Linked DNA regions of Arabidopsis thaliana. The protein of the gene in region 3 interacts with the protein of the main gene of each other region in a pairwise test. Each region holds a gene or a part of one and is shown on either strand. Other genes may lie near its edges. The genes, in order: AT1G24230, AT2G43220 and NIMIN1.

Region 1 (3,635 bases), 8.1 Mb from region 3:
ACGAAAAGTTTTGTTTCTGCCAAAAAAATATTCCCAAGAACATCTTAAACCCATAGAAGCCTAATCCAAATATCACGGTGACCAAAACATAGAGAAAACATATAAAGTAGAACAACAACATGTGAAATCATAAAACTTAAGTGTCAAAGCTGAAAAATAAGTAACAAGAGCACGAAGTTGGTTCCTTTATATCTACATCTCTTGCAAGTAAAACAACAAAGAGCTTAAAAAGAAAAACAAGCAACAAAGCTTTAGATCATTGATTAAGTTCATTTTCTATTTAGTGATCTCTGAGCTTTTGGAAGATGAATTCAGTGGAATCTGAAGCTAGGAGAGTGACTACACTCATCAGTAATCAGCGAGACCAACCCAAGATCAAAGTTTTCGTTTTTCTTACATTCCTAGCAATTTTCAAACCAATTTAGACATAAGATCTCTATTACCAACCAAAACCTCGTCTACATTTCTACAAATCCACACGAAGTAAAAAACAATCTTAAACCAAAGACAGAGAAGGACAATGGCTTACAGGTACTACTGCCAAAGAGGAAAAGCCGGCATTTTTCAACGAGCTAATGAGATATGTCGCAGCTCTAGTACTAGGGAAAGAATCAAAGCCTAGCTTCCTCGATTCATTAGCAGACCAGCTTCCACAAGAAGAAGAAGTGAAAGGAAGAGTGTTGGAGATGGAGAAACGATGCCTCTGAAGCAACCTTGTACTGCCACGAATCAATTGCATTTCTCCGCAAAAGGAATCGATCTATGCGATCACAAATATCCAAAAGCTTTCAGAGATTTTGAGAAAAACAAATCCCTTGTCATTGCTCCTTCAGGTTTCTTTATTTTTGTTTTGGTAATTTGCATATATACCCCTGATATTTTTTGCTTTTATCAAATACATCCTTTCTTTTTTCTTTGACATCTTCTTGCTAGAAAGAGTTTAGTGTGATGCTTATTGTATAGAGAACAGAACATCATTACATACATGCACTTACAATAAAACTCTTGTCTATCCATGTAGAAATCATAATCTAAAATAATTCAAAACAAAATCGATATGACCTCATATGAAAACCTCAATGTTAACAAAAAAAAAACATTGAGGTGAAAAGTGATTGTATTGTTTCATATATTATAGAGATTTGAATTCAGGTCGATTCTTCTTCTGGCATGTACATATATGATTTTTGGTTTGGGGTCATATTTGTTAGAAACCGAGAGGCGAGAGTGTAAGCACTCAAAAGTCAAAGCAGAGTTCAACGTATAGACGAAAACAGAGAGAAACAGAGCAAACCAAATAAAGATCAAGTAAATCTAATGACAACAAATATGTTTCCTAAATTATATAAATTACGAATTTATATAAGAATTTACCAAGGATTAAAATTAATACAAATATCACATCATCATCGTCTTTGATATATAGAAATCTTTATAAATTTATGTTTCAATTTTCTCTTACAAATTATAGTTTTACAACTACAACAAAAATTGAAGTCAAGTATGAATATATGATAATCCCTAGTATAAATATAGACTCGTGAACAAAAACTCTAAAAAAAGTCTCTGAAGTTTTACTTTGCTTCTAGAAATCTTGAACTCCCTTACTCTGCGAAGAAGACGAAGACGAAGCTGCTTCTTGTTCATTGTCGTCTTTGGTCTGCTTATATATCGGTAACATACTTGCTTCCTCATTCGATTGAACATAGTTTCGCTCACCGGAAGATTAGGGTTACGATCATCTTCTCCTTCCATCATCAGATACGATTAGGTTAAAAGGCGCTCGAGCAATTTTCTAGTTTCTTGCTCATCCTTCTTGGTTTTGTTTTCTTTTCTTTCTACTCGAGATTGATTCTGGATCTTCTTAAGGATCCTGTTGCGATGAATTTGACATGATTCTTCTAATTCGGCTATTGTGTTGTTTGGTGGATTAAGTTTCTTGAGGAATAAGATTTGTATTTATGCACTCTATTTTCTGTTTCTTCAATGAGTTGAGACCTCTTCAATCTTTATGGATTAGGCCAATTTTAGACCATGGTTGGAGGAAGCTTATCACCGGCGTTTACTATTGATGAAGCGACGTCATACATCAATGCTGTGAAGGAAGCATTTGGGGCTGATCAACCTGCAAAATATCGAGAGTTTCTCGACATCATGCTGGATTTAAGAGCTAATAGGTATGTTTGGTTTGCTCTTAAACAGTCTACACATGTGAGAGATTGATTCTCATGTTATTTTTCTCTTTGTAGAGTCGATTTAGCTACCGTCGTTCCAAGGATGCGGGAACTCTTGAAAGATCACGTGAATCTGCTACTTCGTTTCAATGCCTTCCTTCCAGCTGAGGCTAAGGAAACATTTCATGATGTACGTTCATACATCTATTCTTTGAAGGAATCATTTCGTGATGAACCTGCAAAATATGCTCAGTTTCTCGAGATCTTGAATGATTATAGCGCCCGTAGGTATGAATTATTTTCTCCATGTTATATTTGATTTTCTCCTAATTTCTGCTTACAAAACAACACACACATGTGAACTGAACTGATTCTGATGTTACTAAGTCTCTCTTTGTAGAGTCGATGCTCCTAGTGCCGTTGCAAGGATGACGGAACTCATGAAAGACCACCGGAATCTGGTTCTTGGTTTCAGTGTCTTGCTCTCAACTGGAGATACAAAAACCACCCCTCTCGAAGCTGAGCCTGATAATAACAAAAGAATACGTGTAGCAAATTTTATCAGCAAGCTTAAGGTATATACAGGATGCTAAATGGGTAAACTAATCTATTTTTGGTGTTTCCTCTACGCTAACTTGTGATTTAAGATAACAAATTCATCGATGTACAGGCAAGGTTCCAGGGGAATGATGGCCATGTATATGAGTCATTTCTCGAGATATTGACAATGTACCAACAAGGAAACAAATCCGTAAATGACTTGTACCAGGAGGTAGGGTTCTTGGTGGGACATTTTGTGTGTTGCACTTCTTAGCTCTTTGGTTTGATTAGCTTTGTTATCTTTGCTTGCAGGTTGTTGCACTTCTTCAGGGTCATGAAGATTTAGTCATGGAGTTTTCAAACGTTTTCAAGAGAACCACTGGTCCATCAGGGTCAAAATCTGCTAGAGATAGATGAGTACATTATAGAAGACTGTCTCTGCTTTATTTTAGGATGCTTGGAATATAATGTTTGGGGTACAAGAGACAAAAAGAGTACTTCTTTCTAACGAGAAGTGAGTGTATAGTTATCATTTGTAGACATTTGAGATTAGTTTGATTCTTACTCATATGCTTCTATATTTGAGATCAATGAGATGCATAATGGTTTGGGTAAATATAAGAGACTAAAACGAGAGTGTATGATTTCGTTTGTTAAATCTTACCAAGAAGACATGAGATTTTGGGGTCATCTTAGTCTAATGTAGAAACAAAAAGAGAGAGGAACAGAGCCTTTACTCAAACCTATATATATGGCCAAAAATTACAGAGCAAACAAAAATCAAGTAAATCTAATCACAACAAATCAAATAATTAGAAGTCAATCGGATAATTCAAGTAAATTTTATCATGATTTCGTTCAAATATGATTTTAATCATTCACACTTTTTATTGAAAATATTTTAAACATCTAATTCAAACT
Region 2 (4,404 bases), on a different chromosome or scaffold from region 3:
CCAGGAACAAATGATAATACATCCAGGGTTCGATCTTCTGTTGATAGAAAAAGGAAACAGGGAACTGTGATAAATGAAGAGGATAGTGGTGTAGGTGTTAGTGGAAGGGACATTAATCTAACAAAATCTGTCGATACAAAAGAGACCATGAAGCCAAAGGATGAAGGAGGAGAGGAAGAGGATGGAGAAAAATCCAAAAAAGCATCTGACGTTCATTTAAACATTCGATTACCTGATGGTAGTAGCCTTCAGGAGAAGTTTTCTGTGACAAGTATATTGAGAATGGTCAAGGATTATGTGAACAGTAATCAAACAATCGGACTGGGTGCTTATGATCTTGCGGTTCCTTACCCACGTAAGGTGTATACTGACCAAGGTACGTAAAATCTACAATGCATCCAATAGATTTTTATTTTTATTTGGTAAAGAACATTTTACCTTAAAACCAGCTTCATCTTGATCGAAGATGATGTTTTCTGCCATTTAGGTTTTTTTTTTTTTTTTTTCTGGTCAGTTTGGACTAGTGTAGTAGATACATAACTCCATTACTCTTAATCTCTGCAGATCTGGATAAGTCTCTATCCGAGTTGAGATTGTTCGATAGACAAGCACTTGTAGTAGTTCCGCGAAAAAGAGCAACCGTCTATCAAAGAGGAACATCTTACTCGGAGTCTAACAACAACACAGACCCTAATAGTGGCGGTTACTTTGCTTATGTTAGAAGAGTACTGTCTTATGCAAACCCGTTTTCATATTTTGGCGGTGGTACTGCCAACGCATCAAGCTCTGTTCCAGAACGTCAAACAAGTATGCGGGAATATGATGAGTTTATAAAATCCATTCTAATGCAGAAAGTCGTGTAATTGCTAATCTGATTCTCTCTTTTTCTATCTATAGGACCAAATACGGAGGTGAGAAACAATCTGGGGCAAGTAGGGACGTCCTTTCAAGATCCATCAGAAGGTAGGAGCAACGTTAGGAATAGGAGACCAACCACTTCTCGGATTGGAAGTAACATCCATACGTTGAATCACAATGAAGATGAGGCTCCGTTTGGTGATGGAAACGCTTTTTGGAACGGAAACTCCACACAGTACGGTGGTGGAAGCGGTGGAGACAGTAATGATAGACGATGAAATAAGAGAAGTTGAAATCTGTGTGGATAGATACAGAAACAGCTCGGGTGTTTACTTTTTATACTTGACTCTTTATGAACCATTTAAGAGACCAGCTGCAAAATGTATCCTGATGCGTTTCCGTTTTTTCGGTTGCTCGTATTAAATTTAAATCTAAAAAAACTAGCAATTTCTGTTTGATTAAATTCGGTTCTAGAAATTAATTAGTGTCGTTTGATTAACTTCGGTTCCAATCATAACAAAAATATTAGAGTTAAATGGTTGCTTAAATATAAGAATCTGTATATTCTTTTCTATGCAAGTGAAGACTTCATTGAACTGTGAAAAGGCGTTCACTGACAGCTTCTTGTTCTCCTAGCGGTTTCCCTTGTGCTCATCCTCACACCTTCCAAAATATTATCAACTCGGATAACAAAACATATATATGTGATCAACCAGACAATTTTTTAATATATATTTCTATAGTCAACGATGAGTACGCATTTTAATAATCCGGTGAAAGATTAGTCGGACTAACTAAATAATTTTTTTGACATATAATAAACACTTGGACCCCCCAAATTGAGCCTTAAGAAAAGACTAAACCAGTTCTATTAGTTGCGTACAACTAACGATGATCAACTTGAGTGATTTATATCGGAGATCGTGGGTAGTGATACGGGTCAACAATATAAGGATTTAGAGATCAATTAGGAATTGAAGTTAAACCTTTTCAATTTTCTTAAAGTTCCCTGATCCTTATTCATTCATCGTATCCACAACCATTCTTAACATTGCCCATGGCTAAGACGCTGGACCTCTTTTGGCACGAACATCCTTTATATGAAAAATATCGTATGTTCACTTGCCAAGAGTGCCATAGGAGTGCTATACCCTTCTTTGAAGTTTTTTATGGATGCTTCAGATGCAATATAAAATGGCATCCCTATTGCGTGCCAAGGTCAACGAAGAATATTAACCACCCTTGTCACCCGAACCATCCCCTAGAGGTTCTCCTCCAAGGGCCACCTAGTTACTCTGACGAGAAGTGCAGCCTCTGTCAACGGAAACTCTCCAACTTCGTTTACCATTGTAAGTTATGCAATTTCAGCATAGATATGGAATGCGGAAACAGGCCCCCGCCCCACAAAGTGGATCATCCAAAGTGCCACGAGCATGCACTCACCCTCATGGGAAGGGAAGTATCCTTCACTTGCAATGCTTGTGGTACGCATGGTGAACGGAACCCTTATGTATGCCTACCATGCTCTGTCATGTTTCATTATGATTGTATTGATCTACCACACGTCATCAACATCAATCGTCATGATCATCGCATTTCACATTCATATCCTCTCAAACGTGGGAATTGGGTATGTGAAATCTGTCGTCAAGATATCAACACCACGTACGGAGGCTATTCATGCAACAAATGTCCAGATTTTTTTGTTCATTCAAAATGTGCAACTAGAAAAGACGTGTGGGATGGGACCGAACTCGAAGGGATACCTGAGGAAGTAGTAGACGTTGCGCCATTTGAAGTGATCGAGGAAGGGGTAATTTATCATTTCTCCCACGAGAAACATAACTTATTCCTTATTGAGGATGTTTTTATAGATGGTGCTGAAGACATGCATTGTGAAGCTTGCGCCCGTCCAGTCTCTTCTGAGAAGCACTACAAGTGCGTGGAATGCAAGTTTATTCTTCACGAAGAGTGTGCGAATCTTCCTCTTACGAAACGACATGGACTTTCCACAGGTATATTTTATCTTCGCTTCGGGAAGGATTTTAGCGAACAAAATTTCAGTTGTGATGCTTGCAATAGAGATGGAAGGGGTTTTAGCTACAAGGATGAAGAGGGTGTGGTACTCGATGTGTTGTGTGCGTCTCTCTCTTTCTTCAAGCACCCCAAACTTCATCCTCACACGTTATTTCTAACCACAATAGATCGTGGTACTTGCTTAGCTTGCGGTGAGAATAAACTCAATGTGCTGCGTTGTGTTGATTGTGATTATTCTTTGGATTACAAATGCGCCACTCTACCATTAGTCATAAAGCATAGGTGTGATACACATTATTTAGTTTTGCGCTCTGGGGAGGAGGCGCCTGAAGGTAAATATTGGTGTGAAATCTGTGAAGCCGAAACCAATCCTGAAAGATGGTTCTATACATGCGATGATTGTGGGGTCGTGTGCCATATTGAATGCGTAACCGGGGACTTTTTGAACATAAAACCTGGAATAATAATGAAGAACAGGGAGAATAAGTTTGAAGTGGGTTTCAACGATCACGATTCTAGACCAAAATGCACTGATTGTGGCTCTCGTTGTAGGTTCCCTAGGTTTTTCAAGGTTACTAGAAAAAATATTGAGTACTACTATTGCTCAAAAGCTTGTTTTCAGAATGCGAAATTCTGAATGCCTGAAGGAAGGCGAAAGGAAGGATTTGGAAACATAAAAAGAATATGGGTTTTTACAGATGGAGGCTGTGTAATGTTTTTCAATTATTTTCAGATAAACTTGTTTTCTATATTTGGATTTATTGTTGGTTTGCTCATTCAGTTCATAAAACTATTTATGAGAAAGAGAGAAAGAGAGAGAGAGAGACTTTGAAGGTAATTATTCTTCACACCTTTTATTATAATTCACCAAAATTGGGATGTTTGTTCTATTCTTGATCACACGCCTCTCTGTCGCTTCCTTTTGACGTTTTCTTTCTTTTCTTAGCTTTTTCTTTTATCTTTTGTGTTTTCTGTCTTTTCTTTTCCGTAGTTATTTGGGATTCCAAATTTTTTTCATTCCTAAATTTCTCCACGAGCTCATCACCTCCTTTCGTCTCTGCCTCTCATTTGTCTACAAACATTTTTTCCTTTTGATTCGTCTCTCTGGTTTATTGCTCGTTGATCGTTTGTTTCTAAATTGCATTCTGATTTCTGATGGATCGTGATTTTCATCGTCGTGGTCAAGTGGTAAGCATTACACGCAAACACAGCTTTGATCATTAAAAATGTCATCTTATTTAAATCATGTCTTGAGATCACGTAATGGTCTTAGGTCAATCAAGATCAACGCGCAACAAATTCTAATGTTTTTACAAAATTTGAAAATACTTATCTACAAATGTATTTATAAAGAAACCTAATTTGCCTTTGTGTTGATCATGATAGACAATTGTTGTTATTAGCCTGTTGATTTGAAGGCAGAGTCCTCTGTTTTCCTGCAACATGTTAGAACAGCTCATTTATGTGTTTTGGTGAAAACGCAGGCGAATGATCGTACACAAAGCAACT
Region 3 (3,173 bases):
TATCATATATTTTTAAATCATCTTTACAATAAAAGTTTTTACTTTAACTAAAATATAAGCCTACCTGCGGTATACTGCAGATTAATCTCTAGATTATAGGGCTTATTGAATCTAAAGACGGGTCATCAAAGATTTCTTAAACTGAAGCAAAATATACTGAATATTCAAATATCTATATGTTACCAACTTATAAACAAATAAGTCAATTTAATATTTTATATATGAAATCAATTAAATCTTAATCACATAAAAATTAGCACAAAAAAAAAGTATTCAACAATTAAAAAATTATCAAATCTCTGTGTTATATAAGTTTTGATACTATATTTGAATAAAGTGTAATATACCTTTTTAATTTGTATTCTTTAACTAATTTAAGCTAACTAATATATTTGCTAATCTTATATCTATCAAAACCGACTATCGTTTCTTATCTCTATAGTATTTTTGCAAGAATGTTTTGGTGGATTTGGATAAAAATGCATTCAGGTCATATGGTACATTCCCCTATTAAATAAATATGGTGCACTCTTATGTTATTAGCTAAAATGTTTAGATTATAATTCAGAGTCAACATGGAGGGACGAGTTTTTGAATCAACATTAATAAAAAAGTAAAATATAATTAATCCACCGTTTCAATATGGGTTAAATCATTAATTTTAAGACCACTAATATTAAACATATCAAATCATCCTAATTTAGAAAAAATTATATAAAACCAAAAATGTTATGTGGTATGTATAATGTTACTATATATAAAATTAAACTATAAAATATAAATGTATTAGAGAATGATACAATTTGCAAAACTTTTATATATAAAAAATAATTCTTAAATTTTAAAAATTACTACTTTAAAAAAAAATCATGGGACGCCTAAAGAAATTACAGAACGTGTTTTATTTTGGAATTGGGTTATATGGTGGATGTATTTGAATCAATATTTATAAAATTTTAAAATATTATTAATATGCTGTTTTAATAGGGGTCAAAACTTCAGTTTTTTTAACAATTGTCTCATGAATTCGTGGTATAGCGTTACTTAATAACAATTATAAACTGTAAAATATAAATATTTTATAAAAATAAAATTTGCAAGTTTTAATATATATTATTTTTAAAAATAAATCGTCCCGCGATATACCGCGGGTTAAAATCTAGTTTCTTTTTGTTTATGTAACATCAATAGAGGTAATCTAATTACCATTCATTTAAAATACCAAAAATAGGGGAAAAAATGTTCTTCGTTGGAATCCAATTGTTCCACACAAATTTCACATATACAAATTAATTTAATTTACATACAAGTGGCCGACAATATGAGATTTTATTCGACAAATCTTTTATATAACCTCATCATTCACAATTTAATAGTAAAATAGTACGTTAATATATCAACCTTTTCAAGCATTATGGTATTCTCCATCCTTAGATTCAAAAACATATGCCTGAAATATTAGATCTAACGGTTGATAGTAATAGAGTGCTGTACACTCGGATCTACTAGAATATCTCTCCAAGACCAACCACGAGTAAAGTAAACGCATCAAGTCAAGTTTTTGATGATTAGAGTCTTTCTTTATTTCAAAAGTATATCCAAGTAGATTAGTGTTGTATAGATTACGTCATCATTGTGACATCATCTCGTAACCGCTTCATGTCACGTTGTCATCCCAAACACATCATCATCTGACGTAATTTTAACGTTGATATCTCCGCGTTCTTTTACTCTTTTACCCCTGGTCCCTTTTTTAACAATTATAAAAATTATGATTACTATTTTGAATTTACAGGGAACCAAAAAACCCATTTATAAAGTTTCGAAATTAAATATCCTAACTAACTTGGAAAAATATCTCCAATTTTCGTTTTTTGTGGTTTAAATTGTAACTAGGAAACTAAAAGGACTAAAGAGTAAAAGAGGTGGGGACAGGGTGTTTTAGTCTTTTTCTAAGAAGTTTCGTGATGACTAATTTTTTTCCTTTAAAAGAAAGTCATCAGACGAAAAGGATTATTTGCCTTCTTCACTCTCCAAAATCAATCACTTTCTCTAAATGTATCCTAAACAATTTAGTTTATACAATTATTCCCTAGAGACCATGAGCAAGGATGAGAATGTGGAGAGCAAAGAGACGATCAGGGTTGATAAGAGAGTAAGAGAAGACGAAGAAGAGGAAGAAGAGAAGAAGATTGATACGTTCTTTAAGCTTATCAAACACTATCAAGAAGCACGGAAACGTAGACGAGAAGAGTTAGCTGAAAATTCTGGCGTCGTGAGGAGGAAATCTAACGGCGGAGAAAGGTCCGGTATAGTAGTTCCGGCGTTTCAGCCGGAGGATTTCTCTCAGTGTCGTACGGGTTTGAAGCCGCCATTGATGTTTGTTTCGGATCACAAGGAAGAAAATACAAAGGTGGAACAAGAAGAAGATCAAACAGAAGAGCGAAACGAAGACAAGGCTTTAGATCTTAATCTTGCATTGTAGTAGCAATTAGTTTTAATCTATTTTTAATTGTCCATGTTTCATTTGTTAGCGTTGTGATTATTAAATCCTTCATTTAACTAAAATGTCCGATAATTAACTTTAAAATGAATAAACTCAAAAGAATCGTGAGGCAAAACATCCTGTCAGATGGGATTGATTCGGTAAACCGTAATTCTTTAGAGCAAAACCAAAACCAATAAAATTTATCATTCTGTAAGAATTGAATATTGCAAAGTTTGTTTAAATTTTATGTGTTGTATAATTATCTGTTTAAGAAGATCATTACTTTAAACCTTTTTTGCTGACCAGATTTGTTATCTAGTCAAATATAAAGATTATAACAAATACGCAACTAGTTGCATAAACAAATATGAATCGGACAACTAATAATCCAAAAGTCAACCAGATGACTTTTGATTGTGATTCCTCGGATCTTGAAACAGACTAGACAACTCTGAACTCTTAAGCTTTAACCACCACTTGACTTTGAAAAACTCTCTCAAGGACTCTCCTTGTGATTCATATTTTCCAAAGCCAAAAAAAGTCAACTTCGTTGCAAGAACCAGAAAAAAATGGGGACGACTCTGGGAAAGCCATTTGCCGGTTTTTTTCACCAAGAAGAAGCGAGGATCGTGTTGTTTGGTCTCGGCGGTACCGGAAAATCATCAATAATGCACAAATTCAAAAC

What was found.
Region 1: the proteins of NIMIN1 (region 3) and AT1G24230 interact in a two-hybrid assay, tested with the Arabidopsis thaliana proteins (one large-scale study listed by BioGRID).
Region 2: the proteins of NIMIN1 (region 3) and AT2G43220 interact in a two-hybrid assay, tested with the Arabidopsis thaliana proteins (one large-scale study listed by BioGRID).

Annotation. Positions count from the first base shown.
Region 1 is NC_003070.9:8,583,535-8,587,169, reverse strand, and holds AT1G24230 (Paired amphipathic helix (PAH2) superfamily protein), read left to right. Parts: upstream 1-2,034; coding exon 2,035-2,177; intron 2,178-2,249; coding exon 2,250-2,462; intron 2,463-2,574; coding exon 2,575-2,749; intron 2,750-2,844; coding exon 2,845-2,946; intron 2,947-3,026; coding exon 3,027-3,131; downstream 3,132-3,635. Other genes in the region: AT1G24240 (Ribosomal protein L19 family protein), read right to left, coding at 1-16, 530-739.
Region 2 is NC_003071.7:17,962,425-17,966,828, forward strand, and holds AT2G43220 (Cysteine/Histidine-rich C1 domain family protein), read left to right. Parts: upstream 1-1,794; 5' UTR 1,795-1,915; coding exon 1,916-3,532; 3' UTR 3,533-3,787; downstream 3,788-4,404. Other genes in the region: AT2G43210 (Ubiquitin-like superfamily protein), read left to right, coding at 1-376, 565-807, 898-1,136; AT2G43230 (Protein kinase superfamily protein), read left to right, coding at 4,051-4,083, 4,169-4,236, 4,346-4,404.
Region 3 is NC_003070.9:497,364-500,536, reverse strand, and holds NIMIN1 (NIM1-interacting 1), read left to right. Parts: upstream 1-1,997; 5' UTR 1,998-2,056; coding exon 2,057-2,485; 3' UTR 2,486-2,620; downstream 2,621-3,173. Other genes in the region: ARFD1A (ADP-ribosylation factor D1A), read left to right, coding at 3,058-3,173.